Linked DNA regions of Lonchura striata. The protein of the gene in region 3 interacts with the protein of the main gene of each other region in a biochemical or structural test. Links are inferred from orthologs where the notes say so. Each region holds a gene or a part of one and is shown on either strand. Other genes may lie near its edges. The genes, in order: PDCD4, ODF2, LRRK1 and CDC42EP3.

Evidence for each region.
Region 1: the proteins of LRRK1 (region 3) and PDCD4 form a complex in vitro, tested with the Homo sapiens proteins (2 studies listed by BioGRID and IntAct, with this or other methods). The link is inferred for Lonchura striata from reciprocal best matches to the Homo sapiens genes LRRK1 and PDCD4.
Region 2: the proteins of LRRK1 (region 3) and ODF2 form a complex in vitro, tested with the Homo sapiens proteins (2 studies listed by BioGRID and IntAct, with this or other methods). The link is inferred for Lonchura striata from reciprocal best matches to the Homo sapiens genes LRRK1 and ODF2.
Region 4: the proteins of LRRK1 (region 3) and CDC42EP3 form a complex in vitro, tested with the Homo sapiens proteins (2 studies listed by BioGRID and IntAct, with this or other methods). The link is inferred for Lonchura striata from reciprocal best matches to the Homo sapiens genes LRRK1 and CDC42EP3.

The regions. Positions count from the first base shown.
Region 1 is NC_134609.1:23,128,213-23,135,105, reverse strand, and holds the start of PDCD4 (programmed cell death protein 4), read right to left. Parts: upstream 3,003-6,893; 5' UTR 2,921-3,002; exon of another isoform or gene 2,872-2,920; intron 1-2,871. UniProt on the Homo sapiens protein: Inhibits translation initiation and cap-dependent translation. May excert its function by hindering the interaction between EIF4A1 and EIF4G. Inhibits the helicase activity of EIF4A. Modulates the activation of JUN kinase.
Region 2 is NC_134624.1:468,298-476,163, forward strand, and holds the start of ODF2 (outer dense fiber protein 2), read right to left. Parts: upstream 3,018-7,866; 5' UTR 2,425-3,017; coding exon 2,194-2,424; intron 1,027-2,193; coding exon 910-1,026; intron 304-909; coding exon of another isoform or gene 301-303; coding exon 127-300; intron 1-126. Other genes in the region: PTGES2 (prostaglandin E synthase 2), read right to left, coding at 7,338-7,466, 7,850-7,866. UniProt on the Homo sapiens protein: Seems to be a major component of sperm tail outer dense fibers (ODF).
Region 3 is NC_134613.1:21,622,101-21,629,348, reverse strand, and holds the start of LRRK1 (leucine-rich repeat serine/threonine-protein kinase 1), read right to left. Parts: upstream 3,001-7,248; 5' UTR 2,879-3,000; coding exon 2,812-2,878; intron 2,675-2,811; exon of another isoform or gene 1,875-2,674; intron 1-1,874.
Region 4 is NC_134605.1:33,453,255-33,460,669, forward strand, and holds the start of CDC42EP3 (cdc42 effector protein 3), read right to left. Parts: upstream 3,017-7,415; 5' UTR 2,806-3,016; intron 2,442-2,805; exon of another isoform or gene 2,274-2,441; intron 1-2,273.

The DNA.
Region 1 (6,893 bases), on a different chromosome or scaffold from region 3:
GGAGAGCGGGGAGGGCGAGACCATCGCGAGTGGGTCCGGGGGGTGCGAGCGGGAAGGAGCCATTGGTGCGGGGGGCGGGGGTGAGGGCGCCTGAGCCGTTCCTCCATGTCCCTGTGGGACACGGCGCGGGGCGGCCACACCGGGACCGGGACCGGGACAGTGCCACCGGGACCGGGACAGCGCCACCGGGACCGGGACAGTGCCACCTGCACCGGGACAGCGCCGCCCGAGCCCTTCCAGGGGCAGGGCCGGGCGAAGCGGCGGCCCCGGGATGCGGGAGAACGGCTCCCCACATCCCGCCTGGGGGTGCTGGGTGCTGGCACCGGGGCAGCTGTGCCTGGTTCCTCCTCCACGTGCTGGCCTACTAATTTAATTAAAAGCCAATTTTTCTTCCTTTTCCGAAGCATCAAAGCCATCAGAAAAAAGAATCTGTTAACTCTTATCGGCGTGTGTTTCTCTCTGCTGACAAGGGGAGCTCGGGCCTTTGGCTGCCTGCCCGCCCAAGCCCTTCCCTCAGCGCGGGGCTGGGTGCGGGGCAGGATGAGGGGCAGGATAAGGGGCTGGGTGCGGGGCAGGATGAGGGGCTGGGTGCGGGGCAGGATGAGGGGCTGGGTGCGGGGCAGGATGAGGGGCTGGGTGCAGGGCTCGGTGCGGGGCTGGGTGCGGGGCTGGGTGCGGGGCAGGATGAGGGGCAGGGTGCGGGGCTCGGTGCGGGGCTGGGTGCGGGGCAGGGTGCGGGGCGGATGAGGGGCAGGGTGCGGGGCTGGGTGCGGGGCTCGGTGCGGGGCAGGGTGAGGGGCAGGGTGCGGGGCAGGGTGAGGGGCTGGGTGCGGGGCTCGGTGCGGGGCAGGGTGCGGGGCAGGGTGCGGGGCGGATGAGGGGCAGGGTGCGGGGCTGGGTGCGGGGCTCGGTGCGGGGCAGGGTGCGGGGCTGGGTGCGGGGCTCGGTGCGGGGCAGGGTGCGGGGCAGGGTGCGGGGCTCGGTGCGGGGCTCGGTGCGGGGCAGGGTGAGGGGCAGGGTGCGGGGCAGGGTGCGGGGCTCGGTGCGGGGCAGGGTGAGGGGCAGGGTGCGGGGCAGGGTGCGGGGCTGGGTGCGGGGCTCGGTGCGGGGCAGGGTGCGGGGCGGATGAGGGGCTGGGTGCGGGGCAGGGTGCGGGGCAGGGTGCGGGGCTGGGTGCGGGGCTCGGTGAGGGGCAGGGTGCGGGGCAGGGTGCCGGGCAGCACCGCAGCTGGCCGGCGGCATTCCTGCTGCTCGGCCCCCGGCGGGCAGAGCTGCCGCCTTCCCCCCCTTGGGAAAGCTTCACACACGTTTGAGGATCAGGTTTGGGATTGACAGCCAGGCTGTGCATGTCCTTCCAAACTTCCCACCTTGTTTTAGTTTACTTTTATACCAACTGCCTGAGGGCACACACCTAATTAGAGATGACAGTCTCCTCTAATTGTGCTTTGCCTCCGTTCAGGTCTCTCCTCAAAACTCAGCTCACCCTTTGTTTTCTCCCTAATTTGTCACTCCAGAGAGCCCAAGCAATGAGGGAAGCAAATACAGATCACTTCTGCTTTGGTATTTGTGCACTGCAGGATTTTCCAGCTGCCAGTGAGAGAAACCTCCCCAGTTAACCAGATTATGACTTGACTTTTGTAGTGTTATTAAATATTTTTCCTGTATAATTCCACTCCTGATTGGTACTCTTCTGACTGAAATAAAAGCCAAAGTTCCCTTGTGTAAGAGCCTCTGAATTAATTTACTGGCCTGGCTCTGCATGAATCATCCAAAATAGATTTAAGATCTAAAACAACAACTATCTGTTAAAAGAATGTGCAGCACGATTGCCATGTTTTCATGATACTTCCCCCACCAGCTAAATGACAGAAAGAAAACCTTTCTTGCTCATGAAGGCATTAAATTGCAGACTTTTTCATGTCGGAACAGTCCAACATGCTCACACAAGATTTTTTTCACATGCAACCTAGAGGCAGCTTTAAAAGATGTTGTTTCCCCATCAATCAAAAAATAGTTCCTAGTTTGCTCTCTGCACCTCTGCTGACTCGTGCGTACCAAGCAAACTACCACAGTGTCATCACCAGGATTTGGAAAAGAAATTCTACCTATTAACATTCACCATGGAATTTAGCTTTCCCTGCAAGGCAGAGTGGGGCTTTAAAGAGATTTTTCAGTAAAGAAAGAGGTGACAGAGAGACTGAAACAGTAGCCAGAACCTGCACAAGAGAAGATGGCACAAAATATGGCATCATGCCAATTACACCTTTTAAAGCGCCATGGAAAATTGCTAAAGGATTTTCTACTAAAGTTTAGGGCTGATTCACTTCCAAGAAGCCTAAAAGCTGGATCAGAGGTCAAAAGAAGAGGAAAACCCCCAAACCATCCAGCACACCTCCAGACAACAAAATTGCGTGTTTTTTTCTTTCTTCTGCTGTATATCTCTATTAGCACGTGGGTTATCAATCACTGAAAATCTCATCTGATTTCTGAAGCACTATGACCTGAAAAAGAGCTTATGTGCATGAAAGATAACTTGTATTTTTCCATTGTATCAACCAGCCTACTAAAAGACATCACCTCTTTTTCCCTTTTTAACCTCAAACCTGCCTGCAACAACAAGAAAACAGCTGATCACATGCTAACCTCTGAGCTGTAGAGACCTACTCGCTCCCTCCCCTAGACATATTAATAGCAAACACACGATCAAAAATCCTCATGAAAACAAAACAGCAAAATTCCTCCTGACATTTAAAAAAAAAAAAAACACCACAGTCAAAATCTTTGGAGCGTTTGTGGTGGATTTGCAGCTCGAGGCAGCCAGCGCGGGGTGTCCAGCCGGAGCCGCCGCCCGACACCTGCACCCCGGGTTACCTGTGCCGCCCGGCCCCTCTGCGCTTCCACCCCTACAGCCGCCGATCACCTGGAGCGAAATGCTTGCACGGAGGCGAGCAGGTCACTTTCGAGCAGCCTTCCTTCCTTCGAGTTGTTTTCAAACTCTGCCCTCCCTTTCTCAGAGGCAGGCCAAGCCCTCCCGTAACACCCAGGGGAGGGATCCATTGGCTGGAGCTCCCCAAAGCGCGGGGAGCAGCCCTTCCCCCGCACGCTGGGCACCGCGTGGCTCCGCTGCCCGGGCCGGGCTGGCCTTTGCTGCTCACCGAGCGCTGGCTGAGCTGCTTCCGACCTCCCGCACCAGAGAGAGCAGCGAAAGCCGAGAGAAGTTGCCTTGGGTTAGAAACACTACCGAACGTTTATTTCCCTTGCACTCCCCACCGCGGATTTTTCAAAGTTTTACTTTCTGTTTTAAATATTTTCGATAGGCAGCATCTGTGCTCCTGACACCTCAGCAGAGCTGTTTGGTTACAGTCGAGTCTGTTACTGTGTCACTTGGAATACGAATTTCCACACATAATGCAGACAGCAAAAATGTATCATATCTGTTAAATCAATCTGCTCTGTTCAGTTGCCTGTCTCTTGGCCTTCTGCTTTCTTTCCCTTCAGACTACTTTTATTTTTGCATCTTCTGCTAAGGTGCCTTCACGAAGTGAACTGCAAACACAGCAAACCCATTCTTTTTCATCAGGCAGCGTCAGCTCCAGGTTGAAAGGGTACAAAAACACGCCTTCACTTTTTTAAATGCTCAGTAATGCGAGCTGCTTTCGAACATCCTCGCGCAGCTCGATGCGGGCGCTGGGAGCGGGGCTGTGCTGCAGACCTGGCTGCGCAGCGCCCGTCGGGGCTGGGCGCCCTGCGGAGCTGGGGAGGGACCGCGCTGCGTTTGCCCAGGCGCGGAGACCGAAGGGTCACCCGCTGCCGTGGCTTTGCATAAACACTTCCCCGAAACACTGCCTGCCTGTCTCTCTCGTGGCTTCCCAGGACTTGCCCCTCACATTGCACAAGCAGCCTGCCCTGTTCGGGGCTCTGAGTACACCCTCCTGGCAGCGGCAGCAGTGGGATCGCCCCGGTAAACTGTTCCAGGCATGTCTCCTCCGTGCTGCCGCTGTCATCTGTTCATTCTTGCCTTAACAAAGGGCAATCACGCATCTGAAAAGACGCTTTACTGGAAAGGGCTGAACTTGTGAAATGTGCAGAAAAATGGAAGAACTTGATTTGAGTTCCAGACGGTGAGTTCATTTAAAAGCTAACAACCAGAAACACAAAATGCCACCTCTACCTCAGAATAATTGTCCCTTTTTACTGGTTTACTGTGGGAGAAAATCTTAGGAAGCCATTTATTAGAACAAGGTGTGTTATTGCCTTGTAATTATTATTTGACAAGCTGCGGTCCTGTGATTAATAAATCATGTGCCTGCTTTTTGTGTGTATATAATCACATGCTCTATATTTACATGGACAGGGGCTTACAGAACATTTACCTTTGTGCTTAGGACTGGCAGGAACTTCTGTGCTATCAGGTCTCCTATCAAAGGCGCCATGTGATTTATATCCTTATCATGACCTTGCCAAGTTCCATCCTCAAAGCAGTTCAATATTTTGCATGGACAACTGCAGTGGGGAAGACATTCTAGAACCACATTGTCAAATGGTTAGTAATGGTCTCCTAATCAAAATGTCTGATGGCTCCTTTTGATCATTTATTCTGTTACCAGCACTGGCCCTTAGCACCATCAGCTCTCCTCTCTTCCCTTCCCGGGAGTATTTATGCAGAGAAAACCTCATGCTCACAGTATTTGCTTTGCAAAATGAAGTGAGATAGCCTCTGCTCAAGCTCACCCCAGCCTTCAGTGCAGCCTGGGCTGCACCTCTCCTGCTGCCTTCCAGGACTGCATTTCTCACTTCCTATTTCCACTGTTGGCAAGTCAGTTACTTGGTGATCAGAGTGTGAGCTGCCAGGGAGCTTGTAGGAAAGGCTTTGGTCATTTGTACCTATGACCAGCACTTTCTGCTATCTACCTTTCTCTGTGTAATATTTCAAGCCTCCTTTTTCCTGAGGTTACTTCATATTTTCTGTCATCAGCAAATTCACCAGTTCTCCAGTAACACTAGTGCCAAGCCCATTTACAAAAGCACTTTGCCAGATCTACAGTGATGCTTAACACTCTCCTGGTAACTACTCTCCAGCCTGACAGCCCTGCTGTTCTTATGCCACATCTCTTTACAGCTTTAAGGGGGGGTTATACCTTGTGCAAAATCACCTCTCCCTCTTCTTAAGAACTTTCCATGTGGCACCATATGAAATGTGCAATGTAAGTCCAGAGAGGTGAGATCCATCCCATTTCCTTCACTAAGCAAATGGCTTGCAGCTTGCCTTTCCCAAGAAAGATAAATGGGTTTGATAAAACCATTTCATCTCATGCCATTTACCTCCCTCTCTTTTGTTAGCCTTTCCTTCACCATTTTTTTTCTGAATCTGTCCTTATGCTATTAAGCTGAAACCTTCATGCCTCTTCTTGCCCAAATCAGTTCACTTCTGTACAGGTTTGCTGTGCTGCTGTCCCTGGCTGAGGGACCTGTTAAAGACATCGGGCCAGTTCTTCCAGAGCTCTGGCATGTGGATTAGCCCGTTCCTCTGCCTTCAGCGCAGGAAGCAGCCCTGAGATTTGCTTTTATCCCGGCCACAAACATTTCCATACCCCCATCCTATTATCCCTCACATCTGCAGCCACATGATTAACATCCTCAGCAAAAGTTAAAGCAAAGAATGAGTTTGGCTTTTGCACATACCCAATGCATATTAACCTCTATGCCCTATAATTTCTTCTTCCTCCTGTTTTCTTCAGCCATATGCAATGAGGAAAAACTTTTCCCCATTTTTTATTAATGTCCTTTAAAAGACAGAACTCTGACTCCCTTTGGAGACATAGCTTTTATACCAAATCGATTCTTTTGCTTTTTAAAATTATTCCTTGCAATGACTGTTCATTCTAAGTAGCATTTCTGAGGTATAAATTCATTCAACTGCAACATCTGTCTCCAAGCTTTTGCCCTTGCCTGGGTTTTATCTCCAGTGAAGTTAACTAGAGTTTTATCCCCTATCCTGGAGTCTCATCGCAGTGAAATTTAGACATGCAAATCCCCAGGCTCCTAAGGAAAGCTGACTATATGGATTAGTTCCTGTTACTTATTTAAATATGCCCCTTGGAACTCGGAAGCTGTATCAGTCACGCCTGCCTTCATAAATGGGACATAATATTTTGAACAGGGTACTGTTTATGACTAAAAAACCTGCAGCATCTCAAGTGTCCCAGAAAAAATTTGACCAGAGTGGATTTTCATTATAGTTCTAGGGTAAAAATAAGTAGTTCAGTGGTGGAACAGAAGTAGCTGGTCTTTTAGATTTTTTTTTTTAACCTTATAAATATAACTGTGCCAGTCACCTTTTGTAGTAAACAGTAACAAGGTGTTTTACCTCACTGGGGCAAGAGACTCAGCCAAGGTGTTTTCCTGACCACTGAGGTCTAAATGTCTGCATGCTTTTCTTCACCCAATTTTAGGTCTGCTTTTTTCTCCACCTCTCCTCTCCCTCCTTCTGACTTTCCTCCCAGAAAAAAGGACACTGTCCCTAAGTCTTAGCACTGGCCTGAAGACAGAAAAGTGTCAGCATACAAGGACTAGGTATTGTCAGTTCTGCTTCTGCAGGGCATAAAGGTTTGGCACCCAGTGCCTTCCACAGCCCAGCCCGCTGTGCTGGCCAAAGAGCACAACACCTCCTGATGTCCTGGCAGGTGTCTGAAGTGTGTCCAGGCTCCTTGGCAGGCTGGCCCACCTGGTCTGGAGGGAGCCAGTGCTGCTGCACCTGCACTGGAGCCAGAGCTAATGGGAGAACAGCAGCCTGGCTGCAGTGCTGATACAAGGAAAGGCACCTCTGCTCCTCAGTAGTGTCCCCCAGGGCGTGGAGGTTGAATTGTTCCCTGTTGAAGAAGGTCCTTGTGGTC
Region 2 (7,866 bases), on a different chromosome or scaffold from region 3:
GATTTTCAAGCAAGCTACCAACAGCCTGAGTAGCCTTCCATTGCACCAAGACCTGCCTCTAGCCTCCCCTTGTCAAAGGATCAGCTACAAAGCCCCAGTCAGCAGGTCTTTCCACTGTCTCCTCACCTCTTTCTTCAGTGTTCCCACCATATTCATCAGGCTGTCTATCTTCTTTTCATATTTGTTGATTTTGCAGCAAGCAGGACCATCGTCGTCCGTGGAGAGGTCACTGAGGCGCAGTACTGACTGCATCTTGTCAGACTCACCATTAGGTGTAGCTTCCACCCGTTCACTTGATTCCTGCTAGGGAATAAAGAGTATATTTTTTTTAGTATAACATTATAAATAGTATTCTAACATTGCCAAAAACAAGACACTGGGTCACATCACTGCAGCAAGGCTGGGAAAGAAAAAAAACAACATTGTTTACAAACAGCTCTTCTGTTTCCAAGTCATGAATGCAGAAAGACTACAATGAAAAAGAAGAAAAACTAATCAAATCTCAAATCCTCATCTAGGAAGTGCCAGGAATACAACAGGCAAAACTATTGAACCATGAGAAAGAAAGTATGATGCAATGCTACACAAACACTCCATGCTTTTGAAGACACTGAGACCAGCATTCTCTTGCTGAGCCTCCAGATGAGATCTTGAATTGCACCAGTAAATTACAATAATAGAAATAAACGTGTCTGGCTTCTAGAAAGAGTAAGGCATGGCCACAGGCTGTTTATGAATTTTCAGTTTTTCTACATTAAAAAGTGAAAAAGATTTTCAGAAGACACTTCAAATAGATGGCAGGGGACAGTAGCCTTCTTTCAGATCTGCCCAACTCTCTCACTACACAAGTGCTCTCTTCCTCCTTGGCTAAGCCTCAAAGTTTGTTTTAAAGAGCAAAACCAGCTGTACCTCCCATTTCAAGATGGTATCACGAGTACTTGTTTTGCCTGGGGGTATCCAAGGGGCCTTAGTTTTCACCCTCACAGCGCGCACACCGTCCCCTTTAGATTTCTGTTTGTGCTTTTGCTAAAGAAAGAGAAAATAAAATAAATTACAGACCCTTAAAGAACCATTTGCAATTTTTAGTGCTGCAAAACTAAATGAAAGATCATTCATAAAGAACTATCAGTAGAGCTTCACAGGATGCATCAGGTGAGATGAGTAGCAGCCATCAAAGGAAGCTGACACCAGCTAGAAGAAAAGGTTATTGCACATTCAGCTGAGAGGATGGCTGGATGTAGGTTCTGACAGATCTCTGGGAGATCCCTTCTTCATCCCAGATTCACCTCACAAAAAAGTAGCTATATCATTTGATACCATGATCGATTTTGGAAAGCCCTGGAAGTGTTTTCCTTACTCTGTAGTCAACTAGAAGATGCACATTTATTTGTATTGAACTTGAGCTGCTCTAATTCAAGGAGAGTTAAAGTGTTTTTGCACAATTCAAACCACAGAGAAAAATCAGATGCTGTAAACATTCCCTACTGGTGATTAATTCATAGGACTCATTATTTTCACTGTCATTCCATCCCATTATGAAATCTGCCATTAGCAACAAACACAGAATTAATAGAAGACTTAGAACAGGATGTCTGTAGATAAGGAAGAATGAGATAGCAACTTCCATCAATTTTTTAGAACAACTTTCCATAAATATCCAGCAAAAAAAGAGGGTATGGGATAGCTAGAATCTCAGCTTCAGTTTTGCCTTGTGCCTCCTGTGGAAGTGGAAGAGATCTTCTTGGCTGCAGAGCTCAGTGGACAGAGAATGTCCTTAACGTCAGAAGATGGTCTCAATCAAGATTCTTTTTCTATGCACATTTATTTGAATACAATCAAGATACTACTTGAAATGCCTAAGTACTATCTCTCCTCAAAGCTTTCCTCCAAAAACAGATATGAAGACAAATACAAAACATTATCAGACACAGACCCAAGAAATAAAAGGGAAAAAATCCACCAAATGATATCACGTTGGAAGCAACATTTCTCACATGAGCATGAAAAGCAATTTAAAATCATCTTTCAACAAATCAACATAGCAAATGTGTCACTGCAAATTCACCACTGAATATGAAATGAAGTCTCACAGCTCTAATACAACAGTAGAACAGACCTGGAAGACTTTGTGATGCTTCTAGGGCCATTCACCTTCTCTGCAGCCCTTACAAGCAACCAGGTACACACTCCTACCTGGCATTTTGCAGGTGTGGTTTTCTGCCCCTTTTTAATATGGACATGGACAGGGGTGTTTTCATCCACATGGACGTGCAAAGGGGGAGATGAGGAACGGTTCTTCATGGCTGTTCTCCCACAAATGGGAAAGGGAAATACAATGAAGGGAAACCTGTGAATAAGGAAATTGGAAATAACAACATTTCCTTCAGTGTTCAGAGAGAAACAGAGGCCAGCCTTGGTTAACATTTGAGCTTTGTATCAGTAGCATCTGCCATTTTGAACTTCACACTATTCTTCTGTAAAGCCAGGAATAACACAAATAATTCCTCTGCTTCCAATATTTTCTGCTTTTAACCTGGTTACTGAAGATCAAACACAGCTGGATCAATATCAGGTGTCTGTAAGAATCATTGAAGTTCAAATACAGCAACTGAGCAAATCAAGGGTTCCCATAACCAACAAAATCTGATTACAAAGAGAAATTTGAAGCAGGGAGAAGAGGAGAATTAATTGAACAGTTAAGAAAAACCATGAGGAAATCATCAGACCAATCCATCCTAGAACCCTGAACCTGTATCCTTCTTCATAAGTGCTTAATGTTGAGCATCTTTTTTAAGCAGAAATCCTTAAAAGCCATTGCATCACAGCATTTCTTTAATCACCACAGAAACACATAACCATAACCTGACACAACACAGAAAAGCCTAGAGACACAAGGTTCAGGTCATCATCTTGGAGCCTCAGTTGATGTAAAGGCATAACACAATTGGAAATCTTACACAAAGCCACCGGCAGCACTAATCTGATTCTGGCAGAAAGGATATTGTCAGCCTAGGTAAAGTTACTTACAGCTACTTTCAAGCCTTTGACTTTCTTGCACACAGTCTTGGGCGTAGAGGAACGTTCTCCGTGGCAAGATGAGATACACCTGGTACAGAAATAATAAAATGATTCAGAGGAAAAAATGCCAATTTCTGAACATCTTCTTCCTTTTGATCTAAGAGAATACCAAGGCTCAAACATATCAAGTGCAAGAACGCAAACAATAAAAGTTGGTGTGCCCTAGTTTTCTCTCTAAAGCACAGGATGAGGGAAGGACAGACTATAATTCCTACTGACAGTGGAAATTGTTTTAAACAGTGGAAATGCTTTGTACAATTACATGATGGCACTATTCACTTACAAACTTTCAAATTCGAGCTGCGATTTTTAAGGAGCACAGCAGTACTTCCTTTACTTCAGGAAGCGGACAGGCACCGACAGCGCCTTTGAATCACCACGAGCGACAACCAAACGTGACTGTGCCTCCTTAGCAACGAGGCTCACTCGTACGTGTTAATTCCTCCTGCAATCTCTGCAGGTTCTCCAGGGACTCTGTGGTCCCTCAGGCTGGCGGAGACGCGGTCGGTGGTTGCTGGCAGCCCCGAGCCGGGCGGGCCTTCAGCCCGCGGGGCCCGGCCGCTCCAACGCCCGCCCGCCCCGCGCCGTTACCCGAGCCCCGCGGCCGCCGGCCTGCCCGCACGAAGGAGCCCGCAAGGCCGGGAAGGAAAAATCCCCCGCGATCCGACCTCGCCCACACGGCGAGGGGACACACAAACGGCGAGGAGACACCCTCCAAGGCAAGGGAACGCCCCCACGATGAGGGGACACCCCACAGGGCGAGCCCCCCCCGCAGTCGCGGCGCTCTCACCAGGAGCGCGGGGCTCGCAGCGCCTTCAGATCCCTGTCAACACGGCGAGCGGCGCAAGGGCGGCCGTGGGCCGAGCTCTGGGCACCTTGTCCGCACCAGGGACAGGAGGAGCGGCCGCAGGGTCCCGGCCGCCGTCGCCGGCGCGCCGCCCGCGGCTCCACCATTGGGTGATTCGAACGGCCCTGAGCGGCGGTAACCGCCCCCGGTAACCGCCCGCAGCCCGGCGCGAGCGGCCGAGCCGCCGCCCCCGCCACCGGGCACCGGGCACCGGGCACCGGGCACCGGGCACCGGGCACCGGGCACCGGGCACCCCGGGCACCGGGCACCACCGGGCACCCCGGGCACCGGGCACCCCGGGCACCGGGCACCACCGGGCACCGGGCACCCCGGGCACCACAGACCACCGAGCATCCCCGGGCACCGGGCACCCCGAGCACCGGGCACCCCCGCCACTGGGCACCCCCGGGCACCGGGCACCGGGCACCCCCGGGCACCCCGGCCACCGGGCACACCGGGCACCGGGCACCACCGAGCATCCCCGGGCACCCCGGGCACCGGGCACCCCCGGGCACCGGGCACCCCCGGGCACCGGGCACCCCTGGGCACCCCCGGGAACCCCCGGCCACCGAGCACCCCTGGCCACCCCCGGGCACCGGGCACCCCCGGGCACCGGGCACCACCGGGTGCTGAGCACCCCCAGGCACCCCCGGGCACCGGGCACCCCCGGGCACCGGGCACCACCGGGCGCCGAGCACCCCCAGGCACCCCCGGCCACCGGGCACCCCCGGGCACCGGGCACCACCGGGCGCTGAGCACCCCCAGGCACCCCCGGCCACCGGGCACCCCCGGGCACCGGGCACCACCGGGCGCCGAGCACCCCCAGGCACCCCCGGCCACCCCCGGGCACTGGGCACAACCGAGCACCGGGCACCACTGAGCATCCCCGGGCACCGGGCACCCCCGGCCACCCCCGGCCACGCACACCGCATCGCGGCCCCCTCAGGAGTGGCCGCGCATCCGCACAGAAATGGGGAGGTCTGAAAAGAGGATTAAATAGCTGGATTAATAAGTCAGTTTTCTTGGCGTTGCCTTTGAGTCTTACTGTCTTTTTACCGTTTTGCTGTCTTAAAGGTGACACCAGAATTGTGTACAGAGCCACTTTTACTGTAAGCTGTTAACCAGATTTGTGTGCAGTTCTGGCCGTCCCCAACACAAGGACATGGAAATGTTGGAGATCACAAAGTTGATAGGGGATTGCAGCACCTTCCCTGTGAAAACAGGCTGAGAGAGTTGGGGCTGTTCAGCCTAGAAAAGAGAAAGGTTGTGTGGAAACCTCAGAGCACCTTCCAGGATCTGAAGGGGGCTACAGGAAAGCCAGAGAGGGACTCCTCATCAGGAACTGTAGTGATAGGACGAGGTGAAAATTGAAAGGGGTAATTTATGTTAGATATTAGGGAGAAATTCTTCCCTGTGAGGGTGGTGAGACACTGACACAAGTTGCCCAGGCAGGCTGCGGATGCCCCAGTCCTGGCAGTGCTCAAAGTCAGGTTGGATAAGGCCTTGAGCACCTGTCTAGTGGAAGGTGTCCCTGCCCATGGCAGCAGAGGTTGGGAGTAAATGATCTCTAAGGTCCATTCCAATCCCTTAAAAATCTAAGACTCCATAAAAGGTGATACAAAATCCTGAAACAATCTTTATTTAATGTAATATTATTGGCATGTTAGTGTTATGGATATTCATCTTGAGATGACTGATTCACGTAGCACAGCACAGCAAGAAGTGGAATCACTGAGCCCTTGGTGCTTCAGATCCTCATTTAACATGAAAATCTTCCTCCCTCTCAGGTTGAGGTGGATGCTGAAATTATCATCAAGGGTTTTTCAACCTCCTGTTTATGCATGCTCAATATAATTCTTTAAAAGAACATTGCCTGATGATACTGTGGAACACAAGTTTCAGTACAGAACAGTTTAAAGAAATACAAGTCAGAGCAGCCATGCAGCCATTTGTACTGTAAACATTTTCTTTCTCCCTTCAATGTCAGATCATAACTGAATTTGGAATTAGTCTTCCATTCAGAAAAAACCCAAACCTCTATCACCACCATTGTTATAACCTCCCTGAACACACATTGGGCAAGCACTTGTATTACAGACCAACTTCAGCTGCACCTGAAATATCACAACAAATCAGATTCCCTGAAACCTGCCTGTTCTTCCAGGGAAACAGAACTTAAGCAGAGTGGTAGTTAAGGATACTTGGGCTGTGCAGAGGATCACTCACATTTGAACCTGCATTGTCTCTTGCTATGAAAAATATGGTTTCTGCAGCTAGAGAGGGCCTTTGACAAGGGGCAGTGGCTTCTCCTGTGAGGATGGGGAGGCACTGGCACAGCTTGACCAGAGAAGCTGTGGCTGTCCCATCCCTAAAAGTGTTCAAGGTCAGGTTGGACAGGGCTTGGAGCAACCTGGCCTATGGCAGCGGTTGGAGCAAGATGGTTTTTAAGGTCCTTTCCAACCCAAACCATTCTATGATTCTACCCAGCACAACTCGGAAGACTTAGCTGCAGGTACAGCTCCTAATCTGACTGCGAAATCAGCAATCCTTTGTTACTCTTGCATGATAGAAACATCTAGAGATCCCCTGGCCATGCAGATGGCTCTTAATCCTTTTTTTCCTAAAACAAGAACAAACTGATCCTCAGGGATATTCCAGAGGTATCTCATGCAAAACAAGCCTTTCCAATAACTGCTCTGCATTTGCGATTTCATTGTAGGCCATGTTCTTTGGGTGTAAAGGGTAAAATAAGAACTCAGATCTCACAAAGGGGACAGAATAAAGCCAGCCTTTATCCTTGCAGAGCATACAGAATCAAATCCTGAGAGAACCGTTTACATGGAAGAGTGAAGCAGATGCCTTGCTGAGCGCAGCCTCACTGCTGTCAGAGGAAGGGTGCCTTCTCCAGAACTGCAGATTCCTCCCGTTCCCTTAGCACTAGGTTTACAAGATTTTATTGCAGGAAATATTGTTACTTAAAAACCAGTATCCAGTGTCTCAGTCAGGAAAACATGTCAGCTGACATGGATGAGTAGCAGGAGACAGCCTGAGGCAAAAGCTGGTCAGGTCTACCACATGTGACACAGCCATAACACCAGCCACGAGCATCCTGCTCTTACAGTAGCCTGCTCTGAAGATATCTCTTCTCTGAAAGAAGCCTTTTTGCTGCATTCTCCAGTTCAGAGCATCTCCTTTCCAGCAGCATCCAAAATCCCTTTCTTTTACCTGTCCCCATCCTTCTACAAACACCCAGTTGGACTGCTCTCTCACAGCGACTTGATGTTCTGAACAGGGTGGTCTCTGTGCCCACATGTCAGTCCATTAGGTGTAATCAGTCAACTCTAAAAATAAAAGCCATTTCTTCTGAAGTTTTCACCATGCAAGTACTTCAGGGAGGCAGCTGCAGCTGGCATCAGATTGCAACTCCAGTTTTTTCAATGACTTCTTCCATGCGCTGGTACCAAGGTTGAATTTTGGTGTGAACCATCATGTCATCAAAGGCTTCCAGCCCTTCCATGACCCGGAGTACCCCGTACACTGCCTGTGTAGAGCAGAGAGGTCAGAACAACACTGAAAAAGCAGTGGAAAACGGCTTAAGGTACAAGTGTCCTAACAGCCAAGCTAGGATGGCTCTACCTTCTGTCCTGCCATATGATCCATCCTTCTGATTAGCAAGGAGGAGTGAATGGCAGAAAGGGAATTAAGAATATGTTTTTCCATGAGGAAAGAGTACGGAAGGATCAGGATCTATGTGCAGTTATTAGGCAAGTCCCCACCATGAGGGAACTGTATTACTGCACAAAAGACAATGTATTTCATATAGCTCAACTTCTCTGCCTGTACTTGTATTAACCATTTTATAGAGAGGAGCAGCAGGATAATTTGTGATCCACCTGACAATAACCACAGGGATGAAACCCTTACCAGGTCAGCGAGGTTTG
Region 3 (7,248 bases):
CCACCTCTGAGACACACACCAGTGGCATATGAATGTCCTGGGACTTTGAATAAAATTCCCAGTAAGAAGGAGATAAGCTTTTTAAACAGAAGTACCCTTATGTTTCAGAAGACAATGATTGTTCTACACCTCTGAGGAGCTCCTAGAAAACCACACAAGAATTAAATCCTAGCTATGAAATTTTGTAAGATTCAAAGAAATCAATCAGCCCATAGAAAGGCAAAGAATCTTTATGCTTTTCTACACATTCATAAAGTGATGCCTTTGGGCTTCCATTGTACTTCCTACAAAATTCCCATCATGTCACCTCCTCTGTATTATGCAGAGCTCTTTAACCAAGTTTTTTAAAAAACCCAGACCCTGTACTTCATGAGAGACTGCAGCCACCCCCATATCCCTGCTCAGTTTCTTTTAATTAGGACAAGATGAACAAATCCAGGAGAGGGGGAAGCAGGGTTTGAGGAGGCAAGGGAGATGCTGAGTACACCCACAAGGGAGCCTCACTCATCCTGTGTTCTGGTGACAAGTCTCTGAGGGCTTGGTCAGCACCACCAGGTCAAGCCCAGCACCATCCCCAGAGGGCAAAGAGTGTCCAGGTCTGACACACAGCTCACCCATGCCATGGGAAAGCTGGCATCCTGCTGGGATGCAGGGAAAGCTGGCATCCTCTGCTGGGATACAGGGAAATCACTGGCAACCAGGAGGAACAGCAGAGCAGACACCTGAGCAAGGTGAGCCCCTGCACCCTGTGTTGCATTTTCTAACTAAGAAGGATGCTGAGTGTGATTTTTCTCCACATACAATTGGCCAGGGCTTTATAGCTGCCAGGGAAAAAAAAACTCCTGAAAAATTCTAAGGCTTCAGATAATGAAGGTGCACAGGGAATTGCTGGAAGGGGCCTCCAGCCATGCTGATCCAGCTGACCCACCCCAGAGCCCCCAGCACCACCGTGCTCTGGTTAAATCCCCCACAAGCCAGTCCCTCCTGCCTGACAAAAACAAAAAGACTCCAAACTCTGAGCACTAACGAGGTCATTGGTAGGAAAGAAATGATCCGGGATTTCACTCCCATTCCCAGCAGCTTCTGCTGAATGGGAGCAGGAGGCTGCATCCACAGTTCCTCACCGGTGTAAACAATGGGCTGGCATGAGGAGGCTGAATGAGTCACCGTGCTCCTGCTTCAGCCCCTGTAATGGGATCTGAGCCAGAACAAGGACCAGTAACTTAAGGAGTGGACCAGTTAGCTAATGACAATCATTCTTGGCAGGACCAAAACAGTGAGTTTAAGCATGTACAAAACCCTTACAATGAGCAAATCCACCAAAGCAGTACTGGTGCCTTGTACAGGGATCTTAAGCTTTACAAGGATCCCTTTCCCAGTTTTCCAGCACTGTAGACTATTTTAATATAACCCAGATATATCCATATAGAAGAGTCTACCAGAGATTTGCATGCTTCCAGCTAACCAGTTTAACTGAATATAATTACATAACAGCAACGTGTAATAAAGTTCTCTGAAAAAAATCTGAATTCAAAATGTAAAAAATTTCACTATCCCACTTTCCACTTCATTATTCACTCCTACAATAATTTATTTATTGTATCTTTACACAGAGAGAAAACTTGCCAGATCACTACTGCAGAACAAAGATTTAGCAATTCTGAACAGTTGTGAACCGTTAGCGCAGATTAAAATTCTTTTCATGGTTTATAGCTTAGTATTCAAGTGGAGATAATTTCTTCCAGAGAGAAACTCAGAAGACAGAATTTAAGAATTTAAAAAATATTCAATAACCAAGTGTTACAGAAAGGTACAGTCCTAATTGCCAACAGCAAACAGAAAAATCAGTATCACAGAACAAGCAGAATACGTACGGAGAAAGGAAAGAGTTCCCAGAGCTCCCTGTGACGCTGGTGAGGAATGTCTTCAGACAAGACAAGGAGGCCTCTGAATAAACTACCAGGTTTTGCTTCATAGTTGCTGATAAAATCCAAAATAAGGCTGCAAAAACATTAGCTTCTGCTGGAGCCTGCTTACTCACTACAAAGCGTCAAACACACCTTCTTCCCACACTTCAAACGCAGATGCTGCCTCCTAATGAAGCACTTGCTGCAAGGGGGGAACACCGTTACACAAGAACAGGAGGCTATTTCTTGCTGCAGAAACATAACTGGGGTTTGACTCAGAGAAAGGCAGCAGTGCCTGGGAGCTGAGGGTTGCAGTGAGAGAAACCATCCAAAAATAATTTGCCTGCTCAGGAAAAAAAAAAAAAATTCACAGGAAGCAACCTGAAGCATATGTCCCTTCTAAAAGGAGAATTTCTTTATTACATAAACACAAATGTTCTAATCTAGCCCAACATAAAATCACTGCAAGCCACTGAATAGGAGCTGAGGGTAAAACTGGAGCAGGTTAATATCTGTTCAGGCTGAGAAGAGATGCTCTGATTTTAGCAGCTTTCATATCCTGAATGCCCATTGCATCAGTGACTGGGAACATATTTGCATTCACACACTGAAAAAGCACAGATCTTGTAAAACATATTTAGGAACTGGGGAGACATGATACATATATTGACTAATTCCGTAGGCCTTTGGAGAACATCCATCTTCAGGGGAATGCTATTCTTACCACCTCCATAGTTCAATATCACTCTCCCTGGAAATAAAATTCCAGACTGTAAATTTTCAAAGATCAGGGCTGAAAAAACTTTCACATTTTTAAACTTCATCAGAGCCCAGTGGCTACCAAGTTGTCTTAGAACCTTTTGTTCCCAATCTGAACAGGAAAGAAACAAATCCTGCTATTTACCATTCTGTGGATCCATGTTGCTCTCCCTGCAAACAGTGGATTCCTCCGTTCCCACACACCAGTACATTCTGGGTGGCAGTTGTGAAGGCCCCACAGACAAACTTTCCACAGCACTTCAGACTGAGCAGTGTTGTCAAAGCTGGATGATCCCCATCATGTGAATGCAGGAGCAGAGGCTGCTAGTGAGCACCATCCTGAAGAAACATCATTTATTCTGTTTAAAAATAAACAACAAAACAAATTAATCATTCCACTGTAGAAATAGTGAGATGTTTATTCCTCTCTACTATTAACACAGTTGTCCAAATGTCACACAGCAGAAATACTCTTATCCTATAAATATAATTATTTTCATAATAGCTTTGTTAAGAGCATAACATGAATTAACAGAGGGGACTAACAATTTCTGCATTACAGAAAGATAATGTTCCTAATTTTTCACCACCAAAGCTGCTCAGTCTTTGGGCAGAGGACAAGGGGGTGGACAGGGGTCACAGCTGCAGTTTCAGATTCTCCACAAGCTGGTGTAAAGGCAGACCATTGAAACCCTGCAGTGCAGCTGGAAAAATCCTAAATGCAACCTCAAAACCTCTCCCATCCACAAAGACAACCACAGCTCTTGTAAGACTGTGAGAAACTGAAAAACACTGATGTGGTTACTGAGATAATCCTCTGTAGGAAAGAGAAGAGGGTGAAGAGAAACACACCAGCTCTTGTCCCCTCTGCCAGTCCTTTTTGAGAACTCTCTCACCCTGGAAGCATCAGGCTTCTTCACTCAGGGAGGCAAATCAGGCCCTCAGGAGCTATTAAAGGTTGGCTTCTTGTGAACTGCCTGGTATAACAGGCAGCAGAAAATTGCACAGCTCAGTCTCCCGAGGCACTTCCAACTCCTTCCCTTTTCACAGTGGCACAACCACCCTTCAACCTCTTCGTACAGAGGCTCAGGCTCCTGGAGGATTTGCAGTGTTTGTCCAACCAGCATCAGAGCTCCTTCATTTTCTGCTTTCAGTTTCAGTCAGTAAACGCCTCTCAGATGTGACATGATGCACCTCAACTGACTCCTACTGGTTCTTCTCAAGTCTGGTGTGTGATGATGAAGTTCTGATTTGAGGCTCTAGCTCAGCAAAGCTCATAACCCACCTCCCACTCCAGCCAGCAAGGCCCAAGACCCTCCCTGACTCTCGCTGAGCAGAGCTGACTTCCTGAACTGGGATCAAAGGCCAAGGGGAATATAAAAATATGCTGATCCATCACTACTATCCGGGAAGCTTTCTGCTCCTCCCTCCTTACACAGGGTTTCAGCCAACAACACTAAAAATCACTACATCCTGTTTCAGTTGTTTTTAGGCAAATATTTGAATTTTAGGTGCACTCAGCTTCTGCTGACCTTGACTTTGCAGTGCCTGGCAGCAGCAAAAAAGATTGGCACCCCTGTGCCCTAGTCTGGGCACAGGGTGCTGCAGGAGGCTGAGATGGAGGTGATCCTAATCCCAGATCCAAGCCCACAAAGTGGTGAATTGCACTGTGTTGGTGAAGGACTGAATTCTGCCCTGGAACTGGTGCTGGTGCTTCTCTCCTGGCCTCAGCTTCCCTTGACAACGCTGGCAGGAGGAGCTGGGACCACACATTCCTCCATGCCACAGGTGGGATGGCCCAGGCAGAGGTGTCAGGAAGGCTCTCACACCTCCCCAGAGCTGTCCAGGGTGTTCACTCTGGCAGTGGAGGGGATGTGATGCTTCCAGCAGCTGCCTGCCCTGTGCCCTTGATGCACTGAGCAGCTCCAGGGAGAGTAAACACTTCCCCATGCACACTCTGGCCCACCAGCTCTGCAGCAGATGATGGTTTCTGAGGCACTTCCTTGCTCTGAGACGGGGACAAACCATGTGCACCTACAGCAACTGTACAAGAAACACTGAATGGGGGCTAGCATGGACCCCTGAGGCTTGAAAACCACTCCACTCCTGATTTTTTGCTGTCTACTCAGCCTATTCCCCAGGCTGAAACTTTCCTCTTATAAAGTGAAAGGAAAAATAATTTTTAGGAAAAATAGTGGTGTGGTTCTGGTAATCAGTTCCTTTAACTGCAAGTAACTGAATGCTGTAGCCATGTATATGACTGCCACACAGCGCCCATGTAATGAGGATTTCTGTATTTCAGGACCTTTTTGTATAAATTTTTTTAAAACCCCTACAGAACTTTACCTTAAGCAAGGTGCACTTGCTGTAAGGTTACAACTGTAACGTGCAAACACCACACGTATTTGATTTAGAGAGTCTATGTGCTCTGCAGAGTCTCGTTCAGAAGGAGAGGGGCCATGCAGAATACACCTGAACAGGTGTAAATGGGATTTACATCCCATTTCACACATTCCCAGCCCTGACACCTCCTACTGCACACACCTGAACCACCCACTCCCCTCCCCTTCACCATCCCGCCCTGTCTGACCCTGTGCATTGTGCCTAAAAACAGGCTGCCAGAAACATCGCGGTTAGCCGAAAATGGCTTGCTAATTGATAAAAACCCCTGATAAAACTTCAGTGCTTTACCCAAACCACCTGTTGTTTCTGGCAGTCCCACTGGGGCCCGAGAGGCCCAGGTGGAAGGCGCTGGGGCTCTCCCGCCCGGTGCCCACGGCGAGCCTGGGGCCGCGGTGCCAGCCCAGGGACCCCCTGCCCGCCCAGGGACCGCGTCCCTCGTCCCGGCTGAGCAGCGAGAACAAAACCATCCCCTTCTCGCACAGCCCGGCCGGCTGGGGGGTCACCAGGCGCTACACCCCGTTTTGGGGGGTCTCTCAAGCCTTTCCAGCCGCTTCCCAGCGGGCTGAGGCGTCCCCTCACAGCGCGTCCCGCCGGGCGGGGCGGCCGCGCCGCTCCCGCGAGCTTCTCTCTGAACTTTCATTTTCTTCAAAAACAAACTCCCGCTCGCTTTCCCCCTCATTTCCACCTGCAAAGCCCCGGCAGCCCCCCACTCCGACTGCCCCGGCAGCGGGGCAGGTGCCCGAGAAGCGGCAGCAAAGCCACGGTACCTCCGCGCCCCGGGCCGGCGCTCCGGGCGCTGCCGCCGCCTCCTCCTCGCCGCCCGCGCCCCGCTCGCTCCGCGGCCCGGGAGCGGAGGGAGCCCGGCGGCAAAGGCAGCGGGACAGCGGCTCCTCCTCCGGCCCCGCGGCCAAGGGCGAGTCCCCGGCACGGCCCCTCGCTGCCCCGAGGGCAGGGCTGGCCCGCGGCAGGATGGAGCTCCTTCCCCCGAGCCGACCCACACGCCCGCCCGCCCCCGGGCAGCCCTCGGGCTCCGAGGGTTGAGCTGTGTGGGCAATGCCAGCGTGGGAGTGGCGGTGGCTGGGGAAGAGCGCTCCCGCAGTCCCGCAGGGCCCGGCCTTACCGCGGCGCTCTTTGAAAGTTGCTCCTTCCCCGACCGCGGCGAGCTCGGTGCTCGCTGGAAGAGCAGAGCGAGGTTGCCCCCTCGCTTCGGAAGGAGCCGGCCCTTCCCCAGGCTGACCCGTTCCTCTCCAGGAGCCTGACAAGCCAGGGATTGCTCCGTTTACCCCACTCGTCGGATCAACTAAGGGAAAAAAAACCCAATATTTCCGCGTGCCTTTTGCTTTGCTGTTCGCAGCCATTCTATAAATTAAACACAGAGGATGTTTTTAGCCTGCTCGGTACCCAGCGATGGGTCACTGCTGGTCACCCGGGGGTGGATGTGCGCGCACAGAACGGCTGCGGGAGCCTGGGGGTTCCTTTGGATGGCACAGATGGGTGTTACCGGTGCTTTTCCCTGTGTTCAGGCCACCATCACTCTGCGTCCAGTTGCAGGCATAGGTAGAGAGCTAGAACGTACCAACACTATTGTTTTCTGGCTTTTAACACAGTTAAAAAACAGCGTTACCTGTTTTCAGCACCTTTCCACTTCTTAGCCAGCCTGCTCCCTTTTATGCCTCACAGCCCAGCTCTTATCCAGACCTTTCTTACCTCATTTTTAGCACAATGTTTGAAAACACCCTAAATTAACTTTTTCCTTTATTATGATAGAGCCTCTAATTTCCTCTGGCAATAATTTACCCACATATTCAAGCTAATTTCCCGCTTTTTCCCCTCCCCAAATCTCATCCCACTCTTCCTTTTGTCTCCATTGATTGTGTCACTCACAGTAATGCCTCTGTATCTTCAGCCTTTCCTTCTCTGGAGTCTGAAAGCTTCTGAGTGATGCTGTCAGTGAGTGGAAAATTCAAGGAGTTTGGCTTGGCCTGTGTAGGGAGCCCATAGGAATTTCTCACACATCAGATGGGAAGAGAGTTAAAAGACAATGGAATGTTCTTGCTCTGTATCTACATTGCAGATGAGAGAAATAAAACTGGGCTGGGAACACATTCAGCAGAGCCACACTGGTGCTGGATGTGTCTCAAGGGGTTTAGGGAGCAGCCAGAGCAAGGCAGGAAGCCCC
Region 4 (7,415 bases), on a different chromosome or scaffold from region 3:
GAGATGGTTCAGATCTTGAGAAAATATATTTACTCTGATGTGATCATAAGAGGGAAAAAAAAAAAGAAAAAGTGATTGTTTTACTATTTTGTTTCCAAAAAGTAAAATTTGCATGCAGGAAAGTGAAAGCCTGTAGTGGTTTACACATCATTATGAAAGGCCAAACAGGCATCAGGTGACACAGCAATTCTGTTAACTAGGGTGAGGAAGAGGAGGAAGAATTGGTCAGAGAGCATTGCTGAGTGCCTGAGACACACACAGTCTCACAGGCAAGAAGTAAAGGAGAACCTGACAACAAATTCTGCATGACAGAAAGAAATTATTTTAAATGCAAGTTCCTTTTTCTTCCCCAAACTATTTGTTAAAACTTGGGCAGAGGACCAGAATTTCTTCTAGAAGAAGCCATCTAGGTCAGAAGACTATAAAACAAAGCAACCTCCCTAATTATGAAAAGCTGAGAGCAAAGCATGTTCTGCAATGAACCATGGCTTTTGTTGGTTACAGTAAAGCTGATACAAGTGGTTTGGAACAGTTTTAGATGCCTCTTTCAAGTCAATGTGACATCTAACCACAGCAGTCAAATAGGGATGGTGCAGACCCACGCTGCCGCTGCCTCAGGGAAAGAGTGGCTCTGGGCTGCCTCTTAGGTGATATCTCTTTTCTAAAATTCATCCAGGCCACCTCCTGGTGATTCAGGTTGGCTTTACGAATCATAGAAGAGGGGCAGAGGCAGTTTTGCAGCCTGGTTTTTACTTCTGTGGATGTACAAGGTGCTCCCTAAACAACAGTAACTGTGATTACCTTTCATCTAAGGAGAAGATAAACCCTATTGTTTCCTTCCCAGATACAGCTGGCTTATGCTGAGGCCAGGAAAAATCATTCCCTTCAGTACTATCGTACCGACCAAAGAACCTGCTCAGTTCCTTTCTTTTGCATGCTCTAATGGAAAACAAATGTTCAAAGCATGGAGTGCCTCGAACATAGGAGTTTTCTCTTGCTTTTCCGAATGTTTCTGCTGAAAGACTATTTGTAACATACTGCAGATTGTAAGTACATCTTACTGCTAATGCTAAAAAACGCTGAAGCCTTTCAGTACAAGACACTTTAAAAATAAATCCTTGCAACAGTAATCACTTGCTGATACTTGCTTTTATGTTTAGCCAGCTGCCAAGATGCCACATCTGTCACTTCTTGCTTCCAGAAATGAGCTTTCCTTTTTTGTAGGGAACGAGAAAATTCTGGTTCTAGAATTGCGCTATCATGATGCCTTTTTTGGTATCTCTGTCATTCCTCTAAACATCTGAGCCGTGGAACATGGATTACAAGATTTCTAGTAGTGTGTATCTAAAGAATTTTTCAGCTTAAGATTTTCACACCTTAAACCTTCTGATTTTTTTCATCTACATTTTCCTGAACAATGTTACATCCTTACAACCTATATATAACTGAAATTAATGGTCTATGCACGAGTCCTTGCCTCTCCTCCCAGATATTTTTCACAGGAAATTAAGAGTTCAGGATCGTACTTGTTACATTAAATATTTAATAATAAGCCTTCTTCCTTCTATGTTTAAAACATAGCAACAATCTACAGTGACGCAAGTCCTAAATTAATTGCTTACTCTATTTTGGTCTCTTATAAATTTCAACTGAAAATAAATCAAGTCCTTTCTATTATCTACAGCCCGCATTTCTTCATCAGCAGCCCAACTCAAATTCTCAAATTTGAGTTCCCGACTTGAACTCTTAGCTCGACAGCCAGCATCACACCGGGTACTGACTTGCCCCCAGTCCAGCCCCAGCCAGGCAGGGAGCAGCGCACTCAGTGCACGGTTATTCTTAGCCCCACGCAGGAAGGCGCGGCGCAAGGCGACACACCGCACAAAAAGGAGCGCAGCCTGTTTCGGGGGGGATGTAGGCTGGGTATGCCTTCTGCCTCCAAGGCAAGGGCATAAAATCAGGTATGCCAAAACACACTGTGATGGAAATTTAAACCGATACAGAGACGAACTGCAGCTCGGAATTTCAGTAATGTATTACTGTATTACACCCCGAGTCGTTCTAAGCGATAGCTCGGAAACCTCCCGAGCAGCCAAACAAAATCATTCATGGGTACTCTCTATGGCTATCCTGAAATGCGTACCCTCCCTCCCAGCCCCCCGAGCGGCCGCGCTGCGGCCCCGCCGCCGCTCCGCAGGTCAGCAGGGGCAGTGCCGCAGCCCGGCGGTGGCGGCCCTCCCGCTCCGCGCCCCACTCCCCGCTCCCCCACTTACGGCGCTGCCGCTGTTCCCGCGCCGCTCCTCCCTCCCGAGCTATCTCCCTCCCGCCGGTGCGGAGCCGAGAGGGCAGCGGGGCCGCCCCTCCGCGACTCGGGCCGAGCGCGGCGGCACCTGTGAGCTTCTGTCAGTGCGCGGGCGGCGGCGCTCCGGGTGCCGGGGGCGCGGCGCGGGGCCGCGGGCGGCGAGCGGCTGCCGCGGGGAGGCGGCGCTGCCGGCGGCGCTGCGGACGGGGAGGGCGGGCTGCAGAGAAATCCTGGCACCGCGGAGCACCGGCGGGAAGCGGGCAGGGAGGCCGGGAACAACCACAATAACAATAAAGGGCTCCTCCCCACCTTTTTTTTTTTTTTTTTTTTTAGCTATTTTGCGGAGGTGGGGGCGTTGCGGGCAGACCGGGAGGCCCTCTGTACACCCTGATAGGGTCCCGGTGAAGCCCTCGGGTGAGCAACCCCCTGTCCCCCGAGCACGGTCAGCTCCGAGGTGTGCTTTAAAGCTAATAATTTTTCACCCAAACCCTCTCTCCCCTCACCTCTTCGGCGCCCCGATCCGTCAGGGGTGAGGCTCAGCCCTCTCTCCGCCCGCTGTGCTCATTCATCCCGCCTGTCCTCCATTATTTACGCGTTGTTAAGGAGCGCTCGGGCTTTCAGGACTCGGCGGTCTGCGATTTGCAGGTAACCGGCAAATACTGCGAGAGCCGGCGAGGCGCAGGGGCGGCTCCTCCCGCCCAGCGGCGGGCCGGAGCGGGGCAGCGGCGCTGAGTTGCTGCGCGGGGCGCGGACCATTCAGCGACGGCCCGGAGCCCTTTAATGACAGACTTAAGGGCACCTGCCCGTCTCTTTTATACAAGTGAAACTGCCTTGCCCAAAACGGGAAAGAGCTTAAAATAGCTGTTGGGAGTCCAGCAGATTACTGACTAGGAAGCCCATAAATACTGCGCTGATGTTAATTTTTTTACAAGTTCTCTGGTTAATCCAGATAGAGACCCCGGCACTGGTCCACCTCTCGCAGTGACATCCTCCCAAAGGTTTCTGTTGGCGGGTACCTGGACTCAACACTGTGCTTGACAGTTTTACCAAAAGGTCATTTTTCAAAATGTTACTTTTGGCACTGCCATACAAGCACTGCATGTGCCCTTACTGAAATATTAAGTGTGGTATATACCTTACCCAGGCTAAGGTATTTTTCTAAATATTTGCATAATTTTCATTACATATAGTGTTTTAAAATCAGCATAAACAGTGGATGCATTGTATGTAAACGTGTATACTTAGTTTAAAATATGTTTACATACCCACATCTGGATGAGAGAATTTTCCCATTTGCTGTCTTTTCATTGGAGCACTCTGAACCTAAAGCACTTTACCGCAGGGTAATTCTATTTTCTTTTTTTTTTTTTTCTTTTTTTTTTTTTTTTAATTGCAGTACTCAAATTTAGAGAACATGTTCCTTTCAAGGTGTTGAGACTGTAATATTCAGTGTGCCTGCAGACTGCTCTGCCCTTACGCATACACGGTGATGTCTCTGGGCGAGAGGCATCATGCCATGCATGGCCCAATCCTGCTATCTGAAATGAAACATACAGGGAAAATAGTGTCCTTTCACATTTTTCACAGTTTCTCATTGCTGAAATATTTTCAATTCTCTGAAAATCTTTTTAACATTTGATTTACATATCATGATGATAAAAAACCCCACAAGCCCTCCATATGTGATTGAATAGCCAAGGATGAAGTTGCTTGTTCCATGGGAGCAAGGGCTTTGTGCAAACAGTTCTGCCCAGTGCACGGCCTCCCAGGTGGGAGCAGGCAGTGACACAACAGGTGTGGAGGCAGCAGCTTCACTGGGGATGGGGATGGGGATGGCTCTGTGCCCTGGCCTCTGACAGTACTGGAGGCATGGCCAGGGACTGCACAATTCCAGTAATTCTTAAGCGCTATTGGAGAAGCCAAAGTAAATTTGAGAGCAGCCCAGAGGCTGTTCCCAGTTTATGTAAAAGGACAGTCAGAGAAAACAGCTATTATAAAGTTTGTGTAAGCAAAAGAAAAAAGAATTCTGTAATAATTCCTGGCTTCTTTGGATACATTTCCAACCTAGCAATTATTCAATTATTTATCTTGTGTGAATGCACTGCATGCTACCTTTCTTCTACCAACTCTACACTTGAGACTGCTTTCTAGTTTAGGAACCTAATTTAAGTGGTTTAAAACTTTTTAAAAGGGACACTGGAGGGATGACATTGCTCTTACTTCCTTTTAGTTCAGAAAGGACATGTGTGGGCATGCATGTGTGTGGTGCCATGTGCTGAAGCTGATGAAAATTCAAACAACTGTTTCTGAGGACAAAAGAAACACATGGATTCATTTGCTATAATAGCAGGCTGGCAACACTTGACAGCAGCTCACTCAAAAGCTTGTTCCAGTCATGTTATACATCCCTGCCTCTTCTGAATATTTCTTTGGTTTTTCTCTCCAGAGCTGGGTTTCAAACCTGTGGGCCACGATACTGTGCCACAGTTGGTTTTACTCAAGTTTCTCTCTTGTGCCGTTCATGTTGTGACCTCTTGCACCTCTGATCTGTGGCACCTGTTCCAGCTTTTCATTCTTCCTTCCTTCTTTTTTCCTTGTCTTTATCCCATGCATGTTTTCACTGCTTTACTCCAGCCCTAAAAGCCAATTTGGCCTGAAGACACGGCCATGCCACTTCTGGTATCTTGTATCATTGCTCTTACATTTTTAAGTCCCATGTTAGCCATCCCAAGGTCATCAAAGCTAGGCTGCAGCCCTCTGCACTGTGCCCAAGTGTGCCATCATAGGCCATAATGATACTGGTTTATTCTCTTAAGTAGGAGCAAAGGACATATTAATAGGAAAGTGATATGTGTACACATCAATAGCATCTGTGTTTTAAGGCAGTAATGGTTTAGAGCAAAGTTCTAGTTTCTCTGCAGAAAAAGTATTGATCTCTTTCCCAGCTAAGCATGTTATGGGAAACACTGAAGCATACACATGTAGGGGCCAGAGACAGAACCAAGGTTCCTAGGAGAACTTCAGTTATTAATTTCCTCAACTTCTTAACAGTTACAGTATCAGAATTATTACAAATGTGCAGATTTTTAATTGATCACCAGAAAGGAGTGATGCGATCCTCTATTGTTAAGTCTCTTTTTACCACAGATTTATGCTTTCTCTCCTTTTAATTTCAAACCTCTTTTATTAGGAATTAAAACTGGAGTTTAAAGTAAGTATCTGTTTAAGTGCTTTGCTGAATCAGGAGAGCTTCTATTCGTCATAATATTTGGCTTATTTATATATGCCAATTTAAGTGTGTGGTGCTTTTGCTCTTCTTTCAGCTAGAGCTAGACCATGAGTTTAGTAAGGATTGTTAAGCAGTCTGTTCTGCTTTGAAATTGTTTAAAAGCAGTCTGTTCTGCTTTGAAATTGTTTAAATTGTTTAAAAGTACACATGATTAACATAACCTCTGGAAGGTAATAAGTTAAATCATTTAATGTAAAAAACTTCATACTACCAATGCAAACAAAAAATGTGACTAGAACCTTTTTCAAAAATTCCATTTTCCAGGGTACCTGAAGATTGCATTCTGAAACACTATTGCTAAATAGCATTTAGCAATCTAGGAATGATCTAAATATTTGGCTGTGTTTTAGTAACTCATGTGGATTACCAATGCACACATATCCAAGAATTTCTGATAACTTACTTCAGAGAGTGACTGTACTATAGACTACTATAGAACTATAGGGTCAGAACTGAAGGGACTTTGATGTCATCTACTCCACATTGTGCCCTGATGGAGGATCAAGCACTTATTGGCATGCTCTTTTCCAGGGCAGATGCAGCCCCTTTAAAGTTCCCTAAAACAGGCTACTGCATAATGAATATAATCTCACTTTTCACAGTCTCCCCCAGATCCATGTGGCAATATGGGCAAATTGGTCAACCACATACCCGAGATATCCTGCACATCTTCATTTATCCTCTGTTCCTGAATTCATCCATTGGCAGAAAAATCCAAAAACTCTTGAGGTAGATTCATAGTCTCATTCTTTCACTATCTGTATTTTTTCTGCTTTCCCAACGGATATACAACTTACATCTTTCTTGGCTGCAAATCAGTCTAATTTCTTCTCTCAATGACCCCGGGGAACAGTGAGACCATCTTCTTTATAACAATCCTATTAGGAGGCTATTATTTTCCCCAACTTCATGTTCAGTGTTTGCTCTTAGAAGTGAAAACAATGATCAGAGCTATATAATAAAGCTTCTTTTCATGGAGATTATTACACAGCATTGGAAAGCAAGGATATGATCTGACTGAGGGAAAAAGTCTTCTGCAACTTGTTCTCCACAGATTATTTCTGTAACTGTCACTTTGGGAATTTCTATAAATAAAATCACTATCACTCTTCTGAGAAGTGAACATTTACTACCATGTTTTAAACAATGAAAAAATACAGATCTGTTTTTCATCTAAATTCTTTATATATTTGAAATCACTCAGAGAAGAGAGTCCAAAGAAATGTGGCTTAGTTTGATGAAGAGAAGCCTCCCAGTGGGATATTTAACAGAATACCTAGAAAACAGTGTTGAAAGACTTATCTTATTTGGAACCCTTTTTTTTAACTCTTGTTCCATGACCTTTCATTTCCAGAGTACCATACTTGGCATTAACTCATTATCCTCTGTGGCGATAACACTTTGGACCAAGGGAGGAAAAGGACTAATTGACCCACAGTCTGAGCAAGGGTTTTGCCTGACTTTGTACACATTAGTGATGGATGTTTGACTTTCAACTGTTTTTGCTATTCCAATACTACACAAGGTTTGGCTTTCCTAGTCTGCATTTTCCTACTGCATTGTAAAATGCCAAGTGGAAGGATGGCTGTATGGACTAATCTTCCCTCCCTTCCCAGTCTTCCCAGGCTGCTCAGTAATGCCTGGAGGAGTGCATGGAATGATGTGGTGATTCAGCCAGTGAAAGAAGGTGGTAGTTCACTGATTACCTCAAAGAGCTTTTCCTTTCTCTTTTCATCTGCTCTCTTGGTCCTCTAAGCTTAGAGCACTTTTCCTTGCAGAACACCTCAGGGAGATGAGGACAAAAATTCCACTGTGTTTGGTGAG